Lepisosteus oculatus: one gene and its partner. The protein of the gene in region 1 interacts with the protein of each later gene in a pairwise test. Links are inferred from orthologs where the notes say so. Each region holds a gene or a part of one and is shown in the gene's direction. Other genes may lie near its edges. The genes, in order: tmem79a and sarcolipin.

Region 1 (12,654 bases):
ACATTTAAAATGTTACACAGGAAAATGAAGCACTTAGCTGGGACTGAGAAGCCCCAGGTTCTGAGGTGAGCAGATCGGTCAAGGGGAAGCCATGCAGCGAGTGTCCATGTAAGGACTCCACCTACAGTAAAGCTTGCCAAGACAGCGCCACCCAGTGGTGGGAAGACCGACCTGCAGGTAGTCGCACTCCTCCACAAAGAAGTGCAGACGGTCCTCCAGCTGTTCCAGTACTGTGGCGGACCGGCACAGCGCCTCCCCCTGGCCAAACGCCTCCAAGCGATTCGTCTCCCTGCGCAGACATGTGGGCACCGAGAGAGTCTAGCTCAACATACCCAGACCCAGCACACTAGGTCACTGAACCGCAGAGATACCTAACCCATTGCGGCTGTAGTTCTGTACTAGTTAAGAGATAGTGACTCACCATGGATGAGTGCTGTTATCAGATTCCTCTATACCTGTACATGACATGTCATAACTGTAGCTAATCTTCAGTGTACTGAGTAATGATTGTGGATGAACTACCTATAATTTGTAAATAACCCATTGTGTTTTCTACTAGTAGTGAAACAGCTTACTTGACATGATTGTTGTGGTCATAATGGTATCAAGGTTGACAAATGATTGTACTATTGTTAGTTGAGAGATTGTTGTGCATTGCTGTGGTGCTGGTAAAATAATTCTCTCATTATGCTTGCACTGGTCTACAGGGCTAGTTTAGAGAGACAGCTAACCCATGGTGGTTTACTGGTATACTAGTTGAGTCAGTTAACCCATTGTGGAGGTACTGGTGTTCACACTGAGATATAACTAGCCAGTTGCTGCTGTGCATGTTTATGTGTTTAGAGATAACTAACCTCTCACAGCTGTGCTGGTTAAGTAGTTTAGCTAGAACTTACCCATCATGGTTGTATTGGTTAATGGGTTAAGAGATAACTAACCTGTTGTGGTTGTACTGGTAAACAGGTATAGAGATAACTAACTTGTTGTGGTTGTACTGGTGGATGGGTTCACAGATAACAAAGCCCATCATGGTTGTACTGGTTAATGGGTTCAGAGATAACTAACCCGTCGTGGTTGTACTCGTTGATGACCATCATGCTGCGGGGGTGCAGGTGGACCCTCAGGAAGTCAGACCACACCCTCACGCTGCCCTCCAGGCTGTACCGCTTCTGAGCGCGCTCCAGACTGGCGTTCACCGTCGCCATGGCAATGCCGCCTGCCGAGAGAGCTTCCGGGCGACATCAGGAGAGTCCGTCAGACACACAGCACAGCTCCTCCCCCAGCCAGCTCCAGCCCTTTCTTTTTATGACATCTTAGATAAAGTCATTTTCCAAAACCAACCGGTTTCTAATATTCAGACTGTGCACATCAGATGTTTTGGGTCATTTACAAAAGTGCGCAGTCACGTTAAGGGCCTGGAGGCAGGTTTGCTGGAAACACTAAGAGCTCAGTGGTGTGAGCAGGGACCCCACAGAAACACAAGACTCTCTCACCCTTGCTTTCCTGTGCCTGGGTAGCAGAGAAGTCTCCCTCGGGCAGCAGCTGCCCCTCCTGGAGAGAAAAGGAATTACAGGAGTCAGGACAGGCCGCAAGGACTGGGGAGTCCTTGTTATGGGCCAGGAGGGGTGAGGGACACTCACATCCAAACGGTCAAGGTCCTGGAGGAAGGAGTTCTTCGCTGGGGGGGACTCCTTGTGGGTCATCACCTCTCCCTCCCTGAAGAACACAGACAGGGTTACAAATAAGACACAAGTCACCCACAACACACACACACTGCCAGTAACACACACAGTCAACAACACACACTACTAGTAACACACACAATAAGAGAGAAGGTGACTCACCAGGTGAAAGTTCTGACTTCTTTCCCTGTCTCATAGAGGCTGCCTTCCTGCCTCAAGGTACTGAGGCTTCCTGTCGGAAGAGAGAGACAATGAAGGTAGGAGAACTACTAAAGACCTGCAGTGGATCAGACTGCTGTGCACTGGGAGTCTGACTGCCAGCACTGTACAACCTGGAGTGGATCAGACTGCTGTGCACTGGGAGTCTGACAGCACTGTAAAACCTGGAGTGGATCAGACTGCTGTGCACTGGGAGTCTGACTGACAGCACTGTAAAACCTGGAGTGGATCAGACTGCTGTGCACTGGGAATCTGACTGACACCAGTGTAAAACCTGGAGTGGATCTGACTGCTGTGCACTGGGAGTCTGACAGCACTGTAAAACCTGGAGTGGATCAGACTGCTGTGGACTGGGGGGGTCTGACTGACAGCACTGTAAATCCTGGAGTGGATCAGCTTCATTTATATCCCTTCCTTTAAAAAAGAATCGCAGAGTTGAGAGTGCCACACACAGAGCATCAGGCCCACCCTTGAGGTCCAGTGTGATGAGGCGGGGGGTGTAGGTGGTCTGTCCCCCCAGTGTGACCCCCTCCCGGAATAGGACATCACTCAGCAACTCGCTGGGGGGGCTGGGGGAATCCGGGTCGTAGCACAGAGCAGCATCCTGGACAGGGCGGTGAAGAAGAACAGAGATTTTCATTAAGTTTGTTCGATTTTTTTCAAACAACCTGGGGCCACTTACAATACTCTCCCAGGTTAATTCTCTCTAACAAGTGCTTATGACACAGATCACAGTGAGACTGGGGCTCCTTTACAGCTCTCTGTCTGTCCCAGACTGGCAGTGAGATTAATATCCTGACTCTAGAAGGGCTGTGTCTCTATCTGTAACACTGACACAGATCACAGTGAGACCTTGGCTCCTTTACAGCTCTCTGTCTGTCCCAGACTGGCAGTGAGAATTTAACTAAAAGGGAAACTTTGTTTTCAACTGTCCTAGCTGGTAAAATAAAGGACTAAATTGAAACGAACAATAATGATGGAGAATTAATGTGAAAATGTGGTTTTATGGAAAGGAAAATTCATAACCTCTTCACCTCATTTAGAAATTCAAAACTTGCTGGGCTATGATTTGCTAAGACTCTCCTGCCCAGTACTAAAGTCGCACTTCAAACTGTTTGCTTTTCCAATTCGTAACATCATGAAGTTGTCTCTTTCTTTCACAAAAAAATGTAAGACTACTAATTAATTAACAGGATTTAAATAATTGAAAGGAAATGGTCAGATATATCTAAACCTATTTCAATGTACAAGTTGTTTATATGCTGTATATACACGCACCTAGTTTAGAGTTGATGCAATATACATTTAGACATCTCGTAGTGGTGACTCAGGCACGGCCCATACAAATCTGACAGGATATTCTCAATCTGTGGTCACCCTGTACACAATACTACGCATCTATAAACTTAATGTTGATTTTGTTCATATTAAATATTAAATTAACTAAATACCTGCAAATTCCACCAGTGGGTCCCCACATAGTTTGAGAAATGTCCCAGCTGCAGGGTCACAACCTCGCGACACACGTTTGCCATTGTGCCCTACAAACATCCGTCTAACGGGGATAAAATATAAATGTTCCTTCGGAAAATTCATAAAATAATATCAGAACACTCGCGTAAACTCTCACCGGCCGTGAGTACAGGATTCTCAATCTAACCCCAGGCTGCGAAACAAGACCCCACCTCCACGCACAGGTCTTAGTCCCTGGGATTGGCTAACGGGCAACACATCGTATTGCGATTGGCTAAGAGTGTTGTATTTCAGAATGTTCTAGTTTTTCCTGTCGCTCAACGGGTTTGGTTGCACGGCACCAGGGAAACACACGTGGAGCAGCGAGCTCTCTGATTGGAGCGGAGAAGGAAGCTGCTGTCCAATTGGATGGCAGAGGAGAGGAGTAAGCAGGAGCTCGGATTGGTTCAAAATTAGGGGCGGGTTCACGAATGTACACACTCCAGTTGTGTTGTGGACTACAGTAGATAATACTGAACATGTTTACATACGGCACATGAGTTAGTATAGAAGCTGTTTTATCACATTGTTTTTTTACAGTAAAGGTAGTCAATTTTGTAAATCACTGCAGTGTTTGGAAAAGACTCGAAGGTAAGAAATTATCTCTGTCAATACAGTAATATCATATTGTAATACTATGAATAGTTTCAAAGTGATTTCGTGTAAAATTCACTGAATTTCTAAAACAGAATGTGTTCCAAATCCCTACATTTTGTTTTTAGCGAAAAAACAATTCGATCTGCACCTTTTTTCATTCCGATGAAAAATTACATATAGCGCCCTGCATACAGGTGGAGACTCACTTCACTGCCCATCCATGTGGGAGACACACAGCAGCCCCCCTGCACACAGGTCAGGGGGGGAGAGAGACACTGCTGCCCCAAGGGAATCCTGGGAGAGCTTCGGAGAGGTCAGGCTGTACAGCCCAGACTGGAGCCAGGAGACCAGGGTTAACAGATCTACACTTCACTCGTGTATCAATAAATAAACTCAATTACCAAAGATCTGCAAACAGCACTTATGGGAGGGCGGGGTAAGGAAATGATTATTTTTTAATAGTTTGATTATTGGTGTGCCCAGTGCTTGCTGGGACAGGCTCTTGGTCACCATGACTCTGAAGTGAAAAGGGGTTATGGGATGTGATGGGATTATGGGTATTGTACCTCTCAGATGGGGTTCCCAGCCCTGGTCTGCAGGAACCCCAGTCCAACAGGTATTCCGTGTCGCCCTAGAATCACAGAGTTCTAATATCAGGAACCAGTTGACTCCGACCAGCAGCAGGTAACCTGTTCAATGGAGTTATTTAGAAAAGATCTGGAACGAAAGGTCAGAAAACTCAAGGACAAAAGCTCCATGTTTCATTGACCAATGATACATCCATCCCTCCATCTTATAACAACTTATTCCAATTCAGGGATGCAGTGGAGCTGGAGCCTATCCCAGCAAGCAACAGGCGCTAGGCAGGGTGCACCCTGGACGGGACACCAGTCCATCAGAGGGCAGACACACACCCACACACACACACCCTGGATGGAACACCAGGCCAGGCAGGCAGACAGACAAACACACATTCACACCAAGAACAGTTTTCCCACAAGCCAATTAATCTACCTGCATGTCTTTGGACTGTGGGAGGAAAAACGGAGCACCTGGAGGAAACCAACATGCAAACTCCCCCCAGACAGAACCCTGAGCGACTGAACTGTTTTCTAAGCCAGGGGACGCAAACTCACTTCCTAGCTTGGTTGGCATCTTCTGGTTTTAGTTCCAACCTGAGCAGGCAATTAAACAATGTACCTAATGACTAATAATTAATATTTAATAATAATAATTGCTCAAAGCGCTTTACAGGAGCTTTGTGTTTAAATGGCAGAGGAGTCTGGAAAAGGGTGGACTGAAAATGAATGCAGAAAAATGCAGAAAAATCTGAAATAATGGTAATGGAGAGAAGAGGAGATACTATGACCAATGTTGAGGAGACAAATGGAGGAAAACTGAAACAAGTTGATGGCTTTAAATACCTTGGATCAAAACTGGTAAAGGGAGGAGAAACACTGGAGGCAGTAAAACAAAGAGTGAAAGCTGGATGGAACAAGTGGAGAGAAATAACTGGAATAATCTGTGACAGGAAAATTCCTAGAAAGTTAAAGTGCAAAATGTACAAGACTGTGATTAGACCTGTACTACTGTATGGAGCTGAATGCTTGGCAGTTGGAAAGAGGGAAGAGAACTTGATGAGAAGAACTGAAATGAGGATGTTGAGATGGATTCTGCAGATTTCAATGAAGGATAAGATCAGAAATGAAGAAATCCGTAGACGATGTAGGGTGGTGGATGTGGTTGAGAAGATGCGAGAGGCGAGGTTACGGTGGTATGGACATATCATGAGGAGGGACGTTGAGGAAGTAACAAAGAGGTAATGGAATTTGAGGTGGAAGGTAACAGAGGAAGAGGCAGGCCTAGAAAGAGATGGATAGATTGTGTGAGAAAAGATATGGAGGTATGTGAAGTGAGTGAGGAAGATGTGCTCGACAGAGACAAGTGGAGAAGAGCAACCAAAGCAGCTGACCCCAGGACAGTCTGGGACTGAGGCTGTGAAAAAGAAGAAGAAGAAGAAGCTCAAAGCGCTTTACAGGTAATGGGGACTCCCCTCCACCACCACCAATGTGCAGCATCCGCCTGGATGATTAACTTTCTTAATTAAATAAGATATGATGCCCAACTGGGATTTTTGTGAAGGTCTTTTGCAGTTGAGGACTGAAAAAAAAAACCAGTACAAGTACAGCTCCTTACAGTATAAACCAACGTCAAGCCCAGCCGGAAGTATCAGTAATACTACAAGTACAGTTATAAATCACCCCCAGGCCAGGTAGGAAGTATCAGTAATTGTGCTGTTCATAAAAATCAGAGGACCTGGCTGGTGGTACATGGGCGCTCGGGCAGATCAGACACCAGGGGGCACTTCTGCTCTTAACGTTTCTTTCTGTTTTGCGGGGGCAGTGAGGGGACGCTTTTCCTTCCAGACCTCTCCTTTAAGAGCAGCCTGTGCCTTTAACAGCTCCACCTGGGCACACCTGCGTCTCGTCTCGGCGAGAGAGAGACACACGGAGGCTTCGCGGCACGCTGAGTAAGTGGCGTTATAATCGTTATAATCGTTATAATGTCTTCTCGAGAGCACCGGACGTAGAGCGAGCGGGCGTTGAACGTTTGATGAAACATGTCCACATGGTTTCGAAGCGTCATGAACTGGCTGCCGAGTTTGGACTAAAGTGCTCAGTGTGACTTGGCTATCGGAGACGACACACTACGCCTATGCCCGTCTCACTAATACTTATCTCCACGCATTTCTCCCCAAATAACATAACTTTTTTTTTGAAAGAAGGTCTTCTGATAAACAAATGCTTCCTGTAGGCTCCCACTTCCCCCTCTCGCATTCCGAACGTTTGGTAAAAAAACAACAACTGGAGTTCAGCCAATGACAAAAGGCTTTTGGAATGAATGGCGTGTTACCTGACCAATCGAAGGGAAGGATTGATGACTGGGTGGGGCTTTACCTGCATAACTAACAACACCCTGTATGAAGAAACCTTCTCTGTCAGTTTTAACTGGCTTACCTGTAGTTTCCACTCGTGTCCTGACAACATGTCTCTAGCAGTGTCTCCAGTCCAGTCAGGGGGGTGTCAGTGTGTGAATTCAGGGGCAGTGTGAGAAGAGAGGGACAGCAGTGTCTCCAGTCCAGTCAGGGGTGTGTCAGTGTGTGAATTCAGGGGCAGTGTGAGAAGAGAGGGACAGCAGTGTCTCCAGTCCAGTCAGGGGTGTGTCAGTGTGTGAATTCAGGGGCAGTGTGAGAGGAGAGGGACAGCAGTGTCTCCAGTCCAGTCAGGGGTGTGTCGGTGTGTGAATTCAGGGGCAGTGTGAGAGGAGTGGGACAGCAGTGTCTCCAGTCCAGTCAGGGGGGTGTCAGTGTGTGAATTCAGGGGCAGTGTGAGAGGAGAGGGACAGCAGTGTCTCCAGCTAGCTTGTACAAACGGCTTGTTTGAGTAACACAAACAAATTCTTTCCAAATTCTTGTATCAACTTGTTTTCCTAGTTCCTTATTCTGTTGGGTCGAAAACATACCTGCCGGGTCCTGGAAAGTCCTCGGAATAACTGTGGAAGGAAGCCCAGGACAGGCAGCAGAGACCAGTCCCAGGATGCCCGGTCGGATGACCGCGAACCCCGAATCGGAGCTGCTCTTGGACGAGGGGAAGGACCGTCCTCTTGAAAATGGCTCGCTGAGCTCTGTACCCCTCAAACCAGGCCTGACGGGAGAGGGGGCGCAGGAGACGGAGAAGAAGGAAGAGATGGAGGGGGAGGAGGAGGAGGGAACCAGGAAGGGAGAGGGGGAGGAGGAGAGGGGAGTGAAGAAGGAAGTAGGAGAGGAGGAGGTGGGAGTGAAGGAGGGGAAGGGAGAGGAGGAGAGGGGAGTGAAGAAGGAAGTAGGAGAGGAGGAGGTGGGAGTGAAGGAGGAGCAGGGAGAGGAGGAGAAGGAGGAGGAGGTAAGGTCAGCTTTAACAGAGTCCAGTACCCTGCTGTGGTCAGCAGAGAAGCGAGAGGCCGAGAAGGGCAGCGGGGTTCTGGGGGCGACGGGGGCGGAGATGGAGGAGGACCCCCTCGTGAACTCGCTGCCCGAGAAGGCGGCGCAGGTGTTCAGCCCCAGCGTGCGGATCCTGGGCCCCAGGTCCGGCCTGCACAGGAAGTCTGCGGACAGGGAGGAGCTGTGTGTTCACGGTGGGGACCCCGAGAAGAGCCCCTTCCTGAACCGCCAGGGGACCCCCCCAGATGGGTACTGGCCGGAAGATGACGGTCCATCACATGGTAACTTCGGGGCGCCCTCTCCAGTACTCTCTCCATCAAACTGGGGCACCCTAGCCCGTCCCCCCACAAACCTCTAATCCTTAGTCGTCTCTGCCCCTCTCTTCCAGTCCACACTGTGCCTTCCCTTGTGTCTCCCCTCTCCTCCCCCAGGTCTCCCCTCTCTTCCAGTCTACACTGTGCCTTCCCCTGTGTCTCCTCTCTCTCCCGGTCCAGACCTGTGCTCGAACCCTGTGTCTCCTCTCTCTCCCGGTCCAGACCTGTGCTTGAACCCTGTGTCTCCTCTGTCTCCCGGTCCAGACCTGTGCTCGAACCCTGTGTCTCCTATCTCTCCCGGTCCAGACCTGTGCTTGAACCCTGTGTCTCCTCTGTCTCCCGGTCCAGACCTGTGCTCGAACCCTGTGTCTCCTATCTCTCCCGGTCCAGACCTGTGCTTGAACCCTGTGCCTCCTCTCTCTGCAGCCCGTGGTCGGTGCTGCGGTTGCCGTGGTCGCGATGCTCTGAAGTCCCTCTCCTCTCTGGTTGCTGCCGCCCTCATCTTCCCTCTCCTCCTGTGGGGCGGGTTTGTGTTCCTGCCGTTTGACGCCCCCCTGCTCCCCGGCGCCCCCCTGAGGCTGGTCTACACCCTGCGCTGCGCCGCCTTCGCCACCGTGCCCGTGGTCCTGGGTGAGAGAGAACCCGCCCGCCCACCCGCCCTCCTCCTCCTCCTGCGACAGAAGCGGCACGGGTCTCTGCTCTGGTTCCGTCCTGCTGGGCTCACGGGTCTCTGTCCCGGTTCTGTCTCCCCAGGCGTGCTGGTTCTGGGCCTGTCCCGGCTGTGCTGGGCTCACGGGTCTGTCCCGGTTCTGTCTCCCCAGGCGTGCTGGTTCTGGGCCTGTCCCGGCTGTGCTGGGCTCACGGGTCTGTCCCGGTTCTGTCTCCGCAGGCGTGCTGGTTCTGGGCCTGTCCCGGCTGTGCTGGGCCTCTCTGATGCCGCAGAGCCAGGAGCGAGGAGAAGTCTGGGTGCACCGGCACTTCGTCCAGGACTCCCTCTCGCTCTTCCTCCTCTTCTTCCTCAACCTGGCCGTGCTGTCCACCTACCTGAGCCAGGAGACCCTCAAGCTCGTACCGCTGCTCACCGGTCTGTTCGCCATCGCCAGGTGACCCCCTCTTCCTGTCTGTACCCCTTAACAGCAACCGCCAGCCTGACCTGCCTTCTTCCTGTCTGTACTCCGTAACCACCAGCCTGACCCCCCTCTCTCGCAGTACCCCAGGTCACTCTGTGTGTGTGTGTACCCTTGTACCCCAGCTCCCTCAGTGGGGGTGTGTGTGTCTGTACCCCAGTACCCCAGCCCACTCAGTGGGGGTGTGTGTGTCTGTACCCCAGTACCCCAGCTCACTCAGTGGGGGATGTGTGTCTGTACCCCCAGTACACCAGGTCACTCACTGGGGGGGTGTGTGTCTGTACCCCAGTACCCCAGCTCACTCACTGGGGGGGGGGGTGTCTGTACCCCAGTACCCCAGCTCACTCAGTGGGGGGGGGTGTGTCTGTACCCCAGTACCCCAGCTCACTCACTGGGGGGGTGTGTGTCTGTACCCCAGTACCCCAGCTCACTCACTGGGGGTGTCTGTGTTTCCTCAGGCTGGTTTACTGGCTGGCCTTCGCCCTGGGCAGCAGTTTCCGTGGCCTGGGCTTCGGACTGACCTTCTTCCCCGTGCTGGTCATGCTGGTGGCCAACCTGTACTTCACCTTCGTTCAGGAGGGCGGCAGCATCTTCGCCCTGGAAGAGCCCGAGGAGCCCGGCGCCACGCCGCCCCCCGGCCAGCCCCGGCTGAGGTTCTGGGGCTGATCCCGGGTCGGACTGCGGTACTGACTGGGCTGGCCAGCGGATGTGGGGGACTGGCACCAGTTTCACTACCTGGGCTGTCCAGAATGACTCTTATTCGTCTGAAGGGATCTTGGGGGTTGGGGGGGGTCGGCTGAGCTTGACTTCCTCTGCAGCGAAGGACCGGCTGACGGAGGCTCTTCCTGTCGGTGATCTGCGCTCGTGTTTCATTGGCTCACAAGGGCTCCAGCGCAGTTTCCTTCTACAATGTATGCTATTATATTATTAGTAGTAGGATTATGATGATGGTTGCATTTTTTTTAATTGCTCTTCCTGGCTGTCACACTTTCGTGGAGTCCAATTTTACTCAATGCTGCTTGTAAATGTACTTTTTTTTTAAGTTTTGTATGAAAAATCCAGTAAAGCAAGGAAATATTTCCTCGTGTCTTTCTCAAGAACATTTAAGAGAGGGAGACTGCTTAGTCCAGATCAGCCCATCTAGTAGGTCACTGGAGGGGTGGAAGGAAAACCAGATGCAATCCTCACACTCAGGGCTGGCCTGGGGTCTTCCAGTCCGTTCCATTGCAGTACTCTGGAACAACCGACTCCCTTAATTGCTGCACAACTCCTGCTAACTGCCACTGGACTAAGGAGGGAGCTGGGAGGAGGGAAATTCTGGACTGGAGCGGACTGGAAAGTGGTCTCTGGCGTCTCTTCTCTCTGCTCTTAATTGCTTAATTGAACTGGGTGTTTAATGAAGAAGGCGGGGCCTGGACTGGCCCTCCTCTGTCAGACCCAGCAGCGTGGGGGTCACCCGGGATGCAGTCTCTAAGACTGGGGAGCCCCAGCCCCGAGGGGTTCCCAGGGTCCCCGATAAATCCACAGGGCCTGGAGCCCGGGCCCCGCCGGACCGCGATCAGAGGGAGGGGAGAGGATTCCTGAGGGCAGAGAGCTCAGCTGACACCCCCTGACCCTGCAGCTCCACAGTTCCCTCCTCTGGACCCCCCCGCTCCTCTGGTACCTTAAACACCTGGGGGGCCCCGGGGCTGGGGCGCTCTGCTCTAAGCCGCCTGAGTAAACAGATCACCGGCTCCGACTGAACACGCGGGCAAAGCTCTTCCCAGGAGTGCACCCCTGTGCTGAAAGAGCTGCCCCCAGGTGTGTCAGACCGGCTGCAGTCCCTGATGAGGAGACCTGGAGCTGCTCTGCTTCGCCAGGCAGGAGCGTGACAATGACACACTTTACACAAGCAAGGTATTGATCAGAATCCTGCCTGTCTGCTGCAGGTAATTCACACTGATCCACACGTTAGTGTGGACCAGGGAACAACCTCTCTTCTGTCTCCTATACCTTCACAAACAGCCTTAGTGGACCCTTGGGTGGCACTAGAAGACCAGTGATGGTGATCTAGCTAGCGTGTTGATTATAATAATAATTCCTTATGCTTATATGGCGCCTTTCTGGACATTCCCCTCACAGCGCTTTACAGATAATGGGGATCCCCTCCACCACCACCAGTATGCAGCCCCACCTGGATGATGCACCAGTACTCTCCCCACGCACCAGCTCTCAGTGGGGAGTTTGCTAATTACTCTGGCTTAGGGAAGGGTGGTCTATAGGAACACTGCAGATCATTCAGTTAAGGATCTGTAAAAACTTCCCTGTGACTTACGTCACCGCCCCTGACCTGCTCGTCCGGTTCTCCGAATTTACTGTCGGAGGGCAGCAATTCGGGTTTGAGCAGACTCCCCCAGCTTCCACCAGGGGGCGCCTTAGGATCGTGGCGAAGGTGAAGGGGGGCCGTGCACTCTGCACCGAGCGCCGTGGAGGAGACTCTCTCGACCGCCTCCTGGAGAGGGGAACAGCCGGTCTCCCACGACGGGAAAAAAACAGGTCGCTCTTCGCCGCGGCCGGGGAGAAATGGCCGGAGCGCAGTGCCGCAGGAAAAGCTGTCTGTTCCGGCTGTCGAAGGAGAACTGCCCCTTCAGGCGGCTGCGGAAGACCACCGCCTACGGTAAGGCAAGACAGCGGGGCTCCGGGCGCTGCGGCGCTCGGGGTTGTGAAAGTATCGACACACGGGAACCGCAAGTCAGGATACCGACTCGAAACACCGGACTGCTTTACACGGAGGATAAGTACAAAATGAAGCTCTGAAACTGCACCCTCTCCTGCCGCTGGTGCGCTCGTTGTGCTGGTTACGCACTGCTGGCACCCTGCGCGCGTTGGTGAACTTTGTTTACCAGCGCGTGGAACTCGGATAAGTTCTGTTTGCCTGCTCACACACGCGCGTTTATAAAGTCCTCACACGCTGTGACGTGTGTGTAAAAGAGACGTGGATTAGGTTAGAACAAACAGCCTAGCGAGGGTCGTGCGCTTATGCTTCTGGTGGTGTGTGTGTATGTGAAGTTTGGGGAAGTAGTTTTGCGCTGTGGTCTAGTTCCGACATTTCCTGATTCCTGGAGCGGTAACAACAATTCTTACTGCGTCAGCGACACGGCTACACCTGTTTACTAATACAGCACAACACAGTGCCACCTGATCCCTCAACAACACAGCACAGCACAGAGCCACCTGATCCCTCA
Region 2 (12,072 bases), on another chromosome or scaffold:
AGCCCACCGTTAGCTACCACCAGGCTCTGAAACAAGAGAAATCACAATCGTTTTCCCTTCACTTGCCTTTCTTTCGTCCTACATTGTCGGGCCCCGGGCAAAGCGACTACGCACGTTTGATGTTTCATTACTGTTTTCAATCATTTGATCATCAAGGCATGAAAACGCCAAATGCTTAAGGTTTTAAAAACAATGCTCTCTTAAACACGTGGTTGTTAATTGCACAGAAAGAGTACTAATAGAGTGACTATTCGTTTACCTATTCGCCTTCTTTTTAGGCTTGGGCTAATTTGAGTTTTAAATCGATTTCGGGGAAGAAACAAAGATACTCCATTCGGTTGGCGTTACGATTTGATCAAACTGTCACTGATGAATAACAGCGTACGTAATAAGCAACGAAACCTGCTAATGACAGCATCATTAAGCGCAATACAATTTACATTTTTAAGTGACATACATATCCGTGACATACATACAATATAAACATTTTTATATAAATTATAAAAACATCTTTAAGGTTCTGTATCTTAAACATAAGATCGGTGTACTACAAGTGCTTTATTTCAACAAAAATAGTGTCACCTTTGTTGGTATCAACACTGTGTCAATGCCTTCATGTTTTAGTAATGTATGGCTCGCTTTTAATTGCTTCCTTAAAAGTTTTTTCTCCTCTTTAGTCTTTTTCTGTAGTTTCACGCCTTCTTCCAAGCATGTCTCCATGGTGCCACAATGAACTGAACACTGAACGAAACAGAAGAAAAGAAAATGGTTCCTAGCGGCAGTTAAAGCCATCGCTGGAAGGATTAATAACAAAACTGACAGCAGTCAGTTTTGCCGTGCTTTTTGTTTATGTATTAAAATAATTATATTGCTCTTAATAGTAAACATAAGTTTGGTAGAACTTTAACATGTTAAACTAATCAATACATGATGTGTGCATGTCTCAAACAGAAAGTTGCTGTACATGAGACATACACACATCCTGTACACATCAGTGATTTGAGACCACTCTGAATTGTTCTTGTCCTTGACTACGAGTTCTTACTGCTTTTTTAAGTCAAGGACAGCCATCAGTAAGGGTTTGCATGCCAAATGTGGTAAAACCAAACACCTGTTGTCTTACTCTCTGATCTTTCTGCACAAGCCTTCTATATTAATGGTTTTAACATTCTGGATGTGTTCCCGGAAAGTTTCTCATTGGTCTCATTGGTCTAACAAATAGATACTAAACTCCCTCTCTCCCAGATTGCCTGCCGAAAAAGAGGAAACCCTTAAAAGTGTTCTCTAAATTCTTTCACAGTCTGCTTTTATTGCACAGTAAAGTTTCTGAACATGTTTATGACATATTCCACTAACAGCGGGGGTTAGTACCCAAGAAGGTGTGTACTGTCTGCATAAAATATAACATTGTTTTTACTTTTGTATACTGGGTTCAATCTGAAGCACTTAATGGTACATATTGTGACTTTAGGGCCATAGGAGCCCCTCAAAGATCGGTAATTTCTCCAGTAGTGTCCAAATTATATACAAAAACTTTATAACATAACATCACTTTATTAGCCCTATACAATTTCTTGCATTAGGAATTACTCTTTTCATATACCCCAGCTTGCTCTTCATGAAACACAAACAGGGAGAGAGAAGCTTGGGGTCAGAGCATAGGGTCAGCCGTTATACAGCACCCCTGAAGGAGTTGGGGTTAAGGGCCTTGCTCAGGGGCCCAACAGAGTAGGATTCCTCTGCCAGCTAAGGGATTTGAACCGGCAATTTTCCAGCCACAGGCACAGATCCTTAGCCACAGAGCCACCACTCCACCTACATTATTGGAATACTAGTGCTGAAAATCTTTTCATAAAATACCCTGATGGCACAGTTTCTGTGGACACATGAAACAGTGGCATTTCAAAGGGAAATTGATGTCTTTGCAGAATAGTGTCCCTTTAAGTTCATTCTTCTACTTAAATGTGGAAAAGACTCTGGTAAAGTTAATAACTGAGAATTTATGGTCAGCAGGTTGAAAGAGAAGAGGGGTATAAATATGTGGGCACTGTCACAGAACTGTAATTTGATCTAAAAAGTACATTGTTGTTGTGACAGGTGAACATTTATCAGTCACTGCAAGCCTTTTTTATTGGTACCTTCATCTAAATCAGATTTACCTTTGGTATTGTAGCCTGGCTTCAGGGCATCAATCCTGTGAAACAACCCAAATCAAATAATCATGAATTGAAATAGTAAGACTATCGAACTTGAAAAGAAAATATGGAAGAATTTCCTTTAGAAACACTTTTGGGAGAAAGAAAGGTAGATTGTTTCCACTCCCACTACAGTACAGCTGGCTTCCCGCTGTGTGGCGATTTTAATCACCGAAAGCTTTGTTCATTCTTGTAAGGCTGATGAACGCTTAAGGTTCACGTAAATTTTAAATATGAGTCTCATATCTGTATTAGTAATGCAACCACAACTGAAGTTCCCTTAAGTGTAAATAAAAAAGAGACTTGCCTTGCTGTCCAGCACACTGCTAGGTATTTATCACCTTTTTGGTATTTATTTATGTTAACGTGGAAGGCTTGGGGAGGGCAGTGAGTTAGCTGGTGTCAATGTGAAAACAGAGATCAACTTTAGTTTCAGCACCTTAGATCAATCATCAAGAGCAAAGAAGAATTTAGCCTATGGCGGCAAGCTTTAAGCTGTATGTCTGAGGGGAATCAATTAGACTATATCCAACCTCTGCATTCTGCACTCATCCCTGTCTGTTATAGTCTGCTGATTGTTTGAGGGCTTTTTTTCGTGATATTGTATGACTGGCTGCTGAACCAGGATCAAACGACGCGGCACAGTGTTTAATAACAAATTTTGAAAACCACCTGTCCAGCAATGTCAAGTGGCTTAGTTGACACATTGTTGGCCTGCCCTCTCTGTCTGGAAACTTATCACGGCCAAGACCAACAGCGCACATGACTGACCCGTGGAAGCTAGTTTAACGTTAAAAATACGTCTTCCCTTAAACCTCCGTCATACAACACGACACCTTTGTGAGCAGCAATTAAATTTGCCATTTCCTTTTATAAACAGAAAGTGACCAATTAGAGGCATTGAGCCAGCAAAGGTTAAAGCTGACAGAGCTGACAGAATAAGATCAATATCCAGTGCAGCTGGGACAGACACTTTAGTTTAAACCCTTAGTTTTTACCATAACTGACAAACCTGCACCCTCCAGTGGCGCTGTAACTGAAGGCACCTGTTCGAAATGTCTGTAATTTTCCATGGCCTCCTTCATCCCGGTTGGGATTTTTCAACTGTAAGGTGTATCATTGCAGTATGCATTCAAAGCTCTGTTATTTCAACCTTGTAGCCAAGGCAGATCTACACTGGAATCTCTATATTTTAATCGCATGAAACAGAATGCTCCTGAGAAATCTGACCTGTTTTTTAAATAGCACTGATTGCTTATATAGTGCCCTCTAGAATCATCACTAAGAATGAAAAGCATGAGGAAATTTTTTAACCTGCAATCCCTTTAACAAGACCCCACTTCCAGCAGACAGGAGATGAGTTATATGTTTTAGACCTTTACACAAAGTCCTTCTACTGGCACTGATGCTTTATCCTAACATTAATCATTTTCAGGCCTTCCTGTACACTCATTTTGATGAATTGCAATAAACACAGCATCTTGTGTACAGCATATATGGTAAGGGTGAGGTTATTAGATTTACAGCAAGATATGCAAACAACATGACGTCTGGTTCTCTGTTCATTTGATGACCATCTGGTACTCTATTCAGTTTTCTACATGTTAGGGTCCAAAATGCAGGTGTTTGTGACCCAGAAGTTAAACTACTGCATCCAACTGGTGAAATTAAAACCTTAAATATAAAATGCAACTTGTTTTTCATACATTGAAATCACTAAGGCAAAGAACAAACGGCCAAACTTGTACAGAACTACAGTTTTGTGAAATTGTCGTACTTGATAGCATATCATTGATTTATACAATCCATTATGAAATCCTACTAAAGTGTTTCTATTAATTATAGTTAACCAATATTAACTTACTTTAACCATTTAAGAAAGCTGGGCTCTGTAGAACATTTGGATGAGGGAGGAAAGACAAAAAATAGGGTCTAAGTAGACGTGCCTTATAAGAATCTTTGATATGGAATAATCTAGCAATGTCTATTTTGAGTAATAGCTGAGCAATACTAGTGTTCACAGCTGTTAAAGGTGGCAAATAGCCTGGAAGGACTCGGTTGCAGGCAAGGTTTTGCAAGGAGGTCATATTGCAAGGATTCTAGAAAACATCCTTATATTTCAGCTTGTTAAATGCAAATATATACAGCTAATTTGACACAGAACATAAATGTTCACCATATGGAATGTTTACCATAAGATGAAGATTAATACAGGAAACATTTCTGCACTCTGATGATCTACTTTGTTGGCTTTCATTCAGCAAACAGAAACAGCACTGAAGTTGCAAGGGTGCATCGAATTTTGCTTCCACACTGGTTCCTAAAGCAGAGCTCTTGTCTGCCTATCCAAAGAGGTGCTTAAAGATCTGGGACACTAAGACCCCACCTCTGCATTTTGCATTTTCTTGTTGAACACACACAAAACATCTGAGCTGCAATACCTTCAACATAATGGCAGAAGGTTATATGACCTGTCACTTTGAACTCATATTTTGGTTAAAATCGTGACCTGAGTCACTCCAGTCACTCAAGGAGTGGGATCTACCGAAAAAGAAATGAAAAACCACGTACTTCTTTCTTTTCTTTGTAGCAAGAACCTAATTTGTTCTTTGGTAGGAGTGTTAAAATGTGAGTGTCAATAGTGACTCATATAGCAGTTCAGTTGAAGCACTGTACCCTAGAAATGTGTCCAAGAATACTAGAAAATAATATGGACAAATTCATATTGTACAATATGTCAACATTTGAGGAAAATATGAGGAAAACAGGCTCATACTGTATCAGCTCCAGTCTCATGCCACACTGGATGTTTATTCCCATATGAAATTTAGGATAGTGAATGTAGCTTTATATTTAGAACAGAGTGGCTACAGTATGTGAGGTATGAAGCAGTGACTGCTGTGGGAATTTAGGAGAAGGTTAGAGTGTAGCCCTTCTCAAGAATTGTTAAGAAACACAATAGTAACTGAGCAGGAAATAATCGTAAAGAGGGAGGATACAGTGATATCTAGGAAATAAAATGTATAAAAGGCAATTCAATTTTCACTGATCTAACAACACTGATCCAACTGCTCTCTTTCCACTACTACAGCATAGCAGATAACTGAGCCCATAGTTGTTCAAGTTTTACAGCCCTATAGAAAACTGTCCCACTGTTCAATAAGATTTGGCATGAGTGTGCAAAATGTCTTCTATACACAAAATGACAAAACAATGGTATGGGCTAACATTTTAAATGTTCTCCATATTTTTAATTTGTAAACTGTGGTTATTAGGAGAATATAATCATAACGCATAATGATTTCTGTATTGCAGGTATCTTATTTAGGCTTTTATTTGAAAATATCCCAACCATATGTGATCACCCCCACTCCATTTAGTCCTCATAAACACTCTTAGATGTTGACTAGATGATTGTATTAGCAATGGAATGAATATTGTAGTGATACCAGGAAATACTGGGCTCCCAACCTCCTATATAATTACCAGGTTTGGACAATATTAAATATGTATAGTTCTGATTTTCTGCCCCTAAAAAAGCCACTTCAATGGTAGTGCTTGAAAATTGATCTACACTCGGCATATTCATTTCTGGACATCAAACAGCTGTATTTTAGATCATACATTAATCACATAATAACTAAATACATTAGTATATTAACTAAATATATTATCCACAAAGACATTCTTCTTTTGAAGAGCAGAATGAAAGGAAGAAAACACATTGTCCGCTGCAACGTTTAACATTTCCGTCTCCTCTCTGGTGTATCCTGCTTCGTGGTAAGTGCCAGGATAAAAGTTTCACTTTTCATTACACCTTCATCCTTCAGTCGAAACAGAAGGACCTGGAAAAGGCTCATCCAGTATCTACAGTATCCTCCATCTGGAGTAACTGTGCTCACAATTTAATTCAATGGAATTTAATGGAATCAAGGCACAAAACAGAGAATAGGTCTTTATGTCTTCTTGTGGTGCACTCCTTAGATACTGTACATTTATAAATTAGAGTATTCTCCCCCATATCCACCACTTGTCCACTTGCCGTATTAAATCAATTTTCCAGGTACTCAGGACAACCGTGCCACTCTGTTGCTTCGTACAAGATGCTGTCGATCCGGATGTCATGAAGTGCATTACTTTCACCACTGTCCACTGGGCAGCTTCCATCTATCACAACTGGACAAATGTTCAGTCTCCCTGCTAATGAGGTCAGAGTCATCATATCCCAGTGGTTGCATCAGAATCGACGTCCAGGATCAAGCATGGTTGTGTCTGGAATACAGTAATTAGCCTAGCATGCAGCCATTATCTTCAGCAGTTAATTTGTATCGTTGATAAAATGTGTCTATCCTGTTTCTGCTGGTAAATCAGGTAAATGCAAACTTTGAAAAAATGCTAAAAATACAGTGAGTTTTGGCAAATAATTGTACTTGTTATTTTCACTTAGAATTATTCTGCAATTGAAGATTCGCCATTGTGTAAATACAGCACATTGCCCAGAAACATGTATATGGTAACCACTGATTCAGAAAAGCAAAGAAAGATATCTGAGAAAAACAACGTAAAGCTTAGTTAGTGGTTAGAAGCAAGAATTGCTTAAATATTAAAGTCAGTCATGGTTTAGTCAAACATAATGCATTGCAGTGAGTGCTAATAGTATCAAAAACCACTATAAACACTAGAAAACTCCAATGTGATGTTTGTGAATGTTATAGTACCTATAGTTTTATAGAAAACATTGAACTATAAAACGTAACATATAATATTGTACAGGATAGACTAAGGCGTATTATATTATTGATAGAGTTGATTTGACTTAATCTACATCATCAAAAGAAATAAGTTCCCCAAGGGGCTAAAATTCCAATAAATACAAACTCAATATCCAAAATCCCCCGAAAAATCCCCTCACAGAAATCCTTGGCTTGCTTTGTTGTCTGCAAACAGGACTTTAAATACTTACTCTGTGACATCACTGCTTTTGTTGCCAAATTATTTGGTGATCCCCTCCCTCGGAGTACTTTAGAGGAGACTCAGTCACTCCCAGCCCAGATGGACCTGGAGGATAAGGCACCAGCCAGCAGAACAGTGAGCCCCAGAGAAACCCTGGAACTGTAACTGGTTTTGTTGGAAAACTGCTCAATACCTGAACCAGGTAAGAAGGTGCTGACATGAGACAGAGGCTATTTCAATTGCCACGCAAACCTGTGTAGATTCCATCATTAAACTGGAAAGAGGATACTCACCTTTCATTACAGGTATAAAGTCATATGTGGAAAAGTAATAGCTTCAGAAAAGCTGAAGGAATGTGTTGTTTTTTTTATTTATTCTTATTTCATTCTTATTTTAGAACATTGTATAATTTGTTAAATCCTTTTTACATCCACACTCAGTTCTTATAAAAAAAAAGGCATGGGCCAAAATAATTTCAGAACGTCAGCATTCTGAAATTTTTTCAGTGTTCAGGGATTTCAGTGTTGTTTAATACATCTAGGAAATAATATGCATCCTTTTCAAGACCTGACACAGCTTTTGGTACAACAAAGTAGCAACAGTAATGTTAGCATTAATGTAATGTTTTCAGCAAAAAACTGTAAAATGAGAGGCGTGAAAGAAATCAGTAAAGCACCATCAAAACAGCCATGATGATGGGCATATTTAGTGACAAGTGGCTATGAAACAATGAAATACCAGTATCCAGTTCACAATGTTGGGATGCTGTGTACGTGCTGTCACTTTGTAGTCTGTGGAATATAAGAGGACATCACACGCACCAAGAATCTATCAGAGCAGTAATTTTGGTTATATTGAAACGTGATCTTTTTTCACATGTGTCCTCTAGACTGTCAAAGAATCATCTGGAGCGTGGCAGCTTCCAAACTTATGAAAGACGAGCAGCTTTGCAAATTGGCCAGAGCTGGTGCATGGGTTTGGGGTGCCTTTTAAATCTCTCTGTAAATCTATGTACACAATCTATTTTTAGAGTGAGCAATCATAGCCGCTTGATAGGGTGACAAGCTGCAAAGTAATCAAGTGGTCCCTATGGGATGGTGAGGATTTGTGTTTCCCTGGTGAAACGCAAAACATTTCTCAGCAAGAAAAGGCGCTGAATCTTAAACACTTGCCCTTGCGATCAGCTTTCTGTAACATCCACATACATTTAACCAAAGCTCAAAAAAGTTAAGAACACTGTGACAGAAAGACTACACAGTTTTTAACTGAGTAGCACTACTATAACTAGTAGTAACTAGTTCTGCAATTTCCCTCACAGGATCAATAAAGTATCTGTCTATCTCGTAAAATTTAATATTGAAGTTCCGTAACACAATTTCCAGTGGTACAAACACGGGATATGAAGGTTCTGCATTTATATTTGTTGTAGATGATGTGATAACACAGAAGATTTCATTTGATATCCCCAGTTGATCTGCTATAGAACAACAGGCAATGTTAATGCAGTGAGGCAAAAGACAGTGGAATAGAATGCATTATAAATATAGCTCTTAGATTAACTTACAGTGACAGAGCCATGGTAAAATTTGCACTCAGGATGCCTCAGGATCCTCAGGATTCTGGAATGTGACGGTTATTTTTTCCTTCCCGTCGGAACCCAGCCTTGGGAGCAGAAGGTGTGTGGCTCTTCCTGCTGCGACTGACTCCAGCGTCTCGAACTGAGCCTTTGGCACAGATCTCCCCTCCAAAGCCCTCGTCCTCAGGCCGGAGCAGAATGGATCGCTCAGTGCAGGAGCTCTTCCTGAACTTCATGATTGTCTTAATCACTGTGTTACTCATGTGGCTCCTTGTCAAATCCTACCAGGAGTGAGACATGTCCTGTGCAGCCAGGCTTCTCTTTCCAGAGGCACCTTTTATAGTCCCAACAATGGAGAAAAGTAGTGTTAAATATGCTGAGCCCCCATACCAGCTTGCCTCTGGATAAAGGGCTGATTAAGCTTTGGCATGTGCTCTTGCATTCATTACTGTAACCATCCTGCCCATAAGAAGCTTGTGAGTACAATTGTCTGGCCTTTAAAAGCAGTGACGTAATAGTGATAATCTACGGAAATATAAACTGGATCAGGTGTTCTTTAATCTGTGTACCTCCTATTTCATTTTCGCTGCTGCTGTGTATGCATTAGTGAACAGTTCAGCAAAAAAAAAATGTTTTGAGCTGTGTTGCAAAGTCTTTTTTTTTTACATCTGTTCTTGTATAACATTTCCAGTACTACAAGAGCAACTTCTTGAGTGAAAGCAGCTGCTGACAACTGAAATCCTTAGTAATGTTCTTTCAGTGCATTTGGATTTGTGCCTGATTATTCTTACAAGCAAAGATGTACTAGAAATGTGAAACCTCTGTGTACATTTCCGTTTACACTTTGTATAATAAAAAGGCTTCAGTCAGACTGTCTTTGTTTTGTATCAATGTCAATGAAGATTCAACAGTATTTTCCAATTATTTCTATTTCCATTAGGCAAACACCCAATTTACAGCATCCAGGTCATATTTCACAGCCACACCATGGGGAAAATCATGAGATATCAATAGGAATCACAGCCCATCCCACTTTGAGCCTTTCATCTTTAAAAGAGACCCCTTCAGGATGTTTAGTTCATATTGCAACACAGTGGGAGTCCTTTAAGACTGGGGTGGTCACCATTTCCATGAAGTCCAAGAGATCACTGGTCAACGACCTGTAACTCTGCCAACTGTGAACAGCTGCTTGGTTAATTCTACACCTGTCACAGTCCACCAGTGACATGACCAACCCCTGACACCTGGGCAACAGTGTATCACCTCAGATGAACTCTCAGGAGCACAAATTTGCAGAACATTATTTTGTTATAAACATTCTCTCATCCTAACTCTTTGAACTGACGTTGCCATTAAATGCAACTGAGAATACTCCAACTGGCGCGTCGCTCTGCCTGCCATCAGAGGGGGTGGGGGGGTGGGAGGATAACTCAGTTATGTAGCCAATTCATGGAGGGGGATTATTAGGAGCCAATGGGAAATTTGGCCAGGATGCCGGGGTTACACCCCTACTCTTTTCAAGAAACACCCTGGGATTTTTAACGACCACAGAGAGTCAGGACCTTGGTTTTACGTCTCATCCGAGAGACAGCGCTTGTTTACAGTATAGTGTCCCCGTCACTATACTGGGGCATTAGAACCCACATGGACTGCAGGGTGAGTGCCCCCTGCTGGCCTCACTAACACCTCTTCCAGCAGCAACCTTAGTTTTTCCCAGGAGGTCTCCTATCCAGGTACTGACCAGGCTCACACTTGCTTAGCTTCAGTGGGTTGCCAATTGTAAGTTGCAGGGTGACATGGCTGCTTGCATTTTGTTATAAACATTAAGGTGTTGAATTTCTCTTTTTCCAATTGAACTTTTCTACATCATATAAAATTCCAGAATCTTAGCTTCATTTGTACAGACAAAAGAACAGACTTTATTTGTACAAAGGAAGAATTCCCAATACTTGGCCAGTAGTTCAATAAGCAGATGACTAGAACTGGTCTACTGGAGATCACATCTTTCAGTGTTTACATTAGAGAATGATTCTGTTCAATTCTTAAGGGGTTCTCACAGTTCTAGTTATGACCAGAAGAGGGTGATAAAGTTGCATAACCTATTGCTCCTTAAATTTATATTTTTCAACTTTAACATATTTATTGAGAGCTTATCACACAGTTAGTATGACAGGATCACAGGAACAATATTGAAAAACCTTCCTTACAGACTTCAGTGTTGTGTTTTTACATATCACTGCAAACCCAGGGTGAAATTGAAGACCAGCGGTACTCAGGGTAGCTTTGCTTGGTGTGTAGCATTGACTACCAGCCTTTCAAATTAAAACCCAAAGACAAATAATATATCCTTCAGCTTCGAGGCTACTTTATTAAGATAGAGTTAGGTAGCATGGATAACTTACATAGCCTTAATCATACAGTATATGTGTACAATATTTACTCATTCTTCACTTTTCATGCATTAGAATATAATTGAATAAATATACACTGATTTGAGCATCAGTGTCTCACCATTTGATTTTGTTCTGAACATATAAAGCAAAAAAGTTCTGAATGGCATAATTCATTGTAAAGCAGCATAACATCTGAATCAATATAAACACATTTGTACAAAAATGAAATGGAAGAGACATTTTGCCTTCTTACAAATCCTCTATTAACACAGAAAATTGAATTCTAAAAATATAATGAGAGTTTTGAAAGTGGTAGTCCACTGAGTAACATCACTACTACAATGATGGATAAAATATTGCTTTTTTCCCCCTCAGAATCCTGTTTATATTGTCTTTAGGCAAAATCAGCATTGATAGTTACAAAAAGTATACAGTGTGACTCATGGTGTTTTTCATGTCTGTAAAGGGATGTCAGATGCTCTACTGCCTGCTGCATGACAAATGTACATGAATCACAAGTTTTACCATTCTCAGAAAGCACATCTCATGCTCAGGCCCGACTAAATCCCTAAATCAGGAAAGGAAAGCCAGTTTGATGATGTATGAGATGGCAGGACTGCGGAGTTCACAATACTTACTCCATTCACAAAACCACTCTGACCGTGACTATAAACACAAGCATCACCATGACTACAGCTGAGTTTCCTTAAACATACCAAACCCTTTTCATTGCTCATTGATGCACTGACAAGCCATGCATAATAGTAAAGTTTTCTTGTTTTTTCTTGTTACCCTAGTATTCAGCTGTTACAGAGCAAGGATGATCACATACCAGGGCTTTAGAAGGAAAAAAACTCACACCTATTTGCCAAACTTCATTTTTGTTACCTCACATTGAAATATACTATCTAATATACATACTGTTGTACATAATATAATGTTTCTTTGTATGATA

The links.
Region 2: the proteins of tmem79a (region 1) and sarcolipin interact in binary tests that used the Homo sapiens proteins (3 or more experiments, as listed by UniProt). The two-hybrid records come from large-scale screens. The link is inferred for Lepisosteus oculatus from reciprocal best matches to the Homo sapiens genes TMEM79 and SLN.

Annotation. Positions count from the first base shown.
Region 1 is NC_090722.1:6,312,123-6,324,776, reverse strand, and holds tmem79a (transmembrane protein 79), read left to right. Parts: upstream 1-6,431; 5' UTR 6,432-6,540; intron 6,541-7,503; 5' UTR 7,504-7,606; coding exon 7,607-8,270; intron 8,271-8,729; coding exon 8,730-8,933; intron 8,934-9,192; coding exon 9,193-9,406; intron 9,407-9,888; coding exon 9,889-10,096; 3' UTR 10,097-10,509; downstream 10,510-12,654. Other genes in the region: msto1 (protein misato homolog 1), read right to left, coding at 172-289, 1,066-1,228, 1,494-1,551, 1,641-1,716, 1,845-1,914, 2,370-2,505, 3,353-3,436; uncharacterized protein, read left to right, coding at 11,993-12,086.
Region 2 is NC_090700.1:10,184,233-10,196,304, reverse strand, and holds sarcolipin, read left to right. Parts: upstream 1-7,240; 5' UTR 7,241-7,350; intron 7,351-8,809; 5' UTR 8,810-8,922; coding exon 8,923-9,018; 3' UTR 9,019-9,593; downstream 9,594-12,072. Other genes in the region: alkbh8 (alkylated DNA repair protein alkB homolog 8), read right to left, coding at 1-26, 583-720. UniProt on the Homo sapiens protein: Reversibly inhibits the activity of ATP2A1/SERCA1 and ATP2A2/SERCA2 in sarcoplasmic reticulum by decreasing the apparent affinity of the ATPase for Ca(2+). Also inhibits the activity of ATP2A3/SERCA3.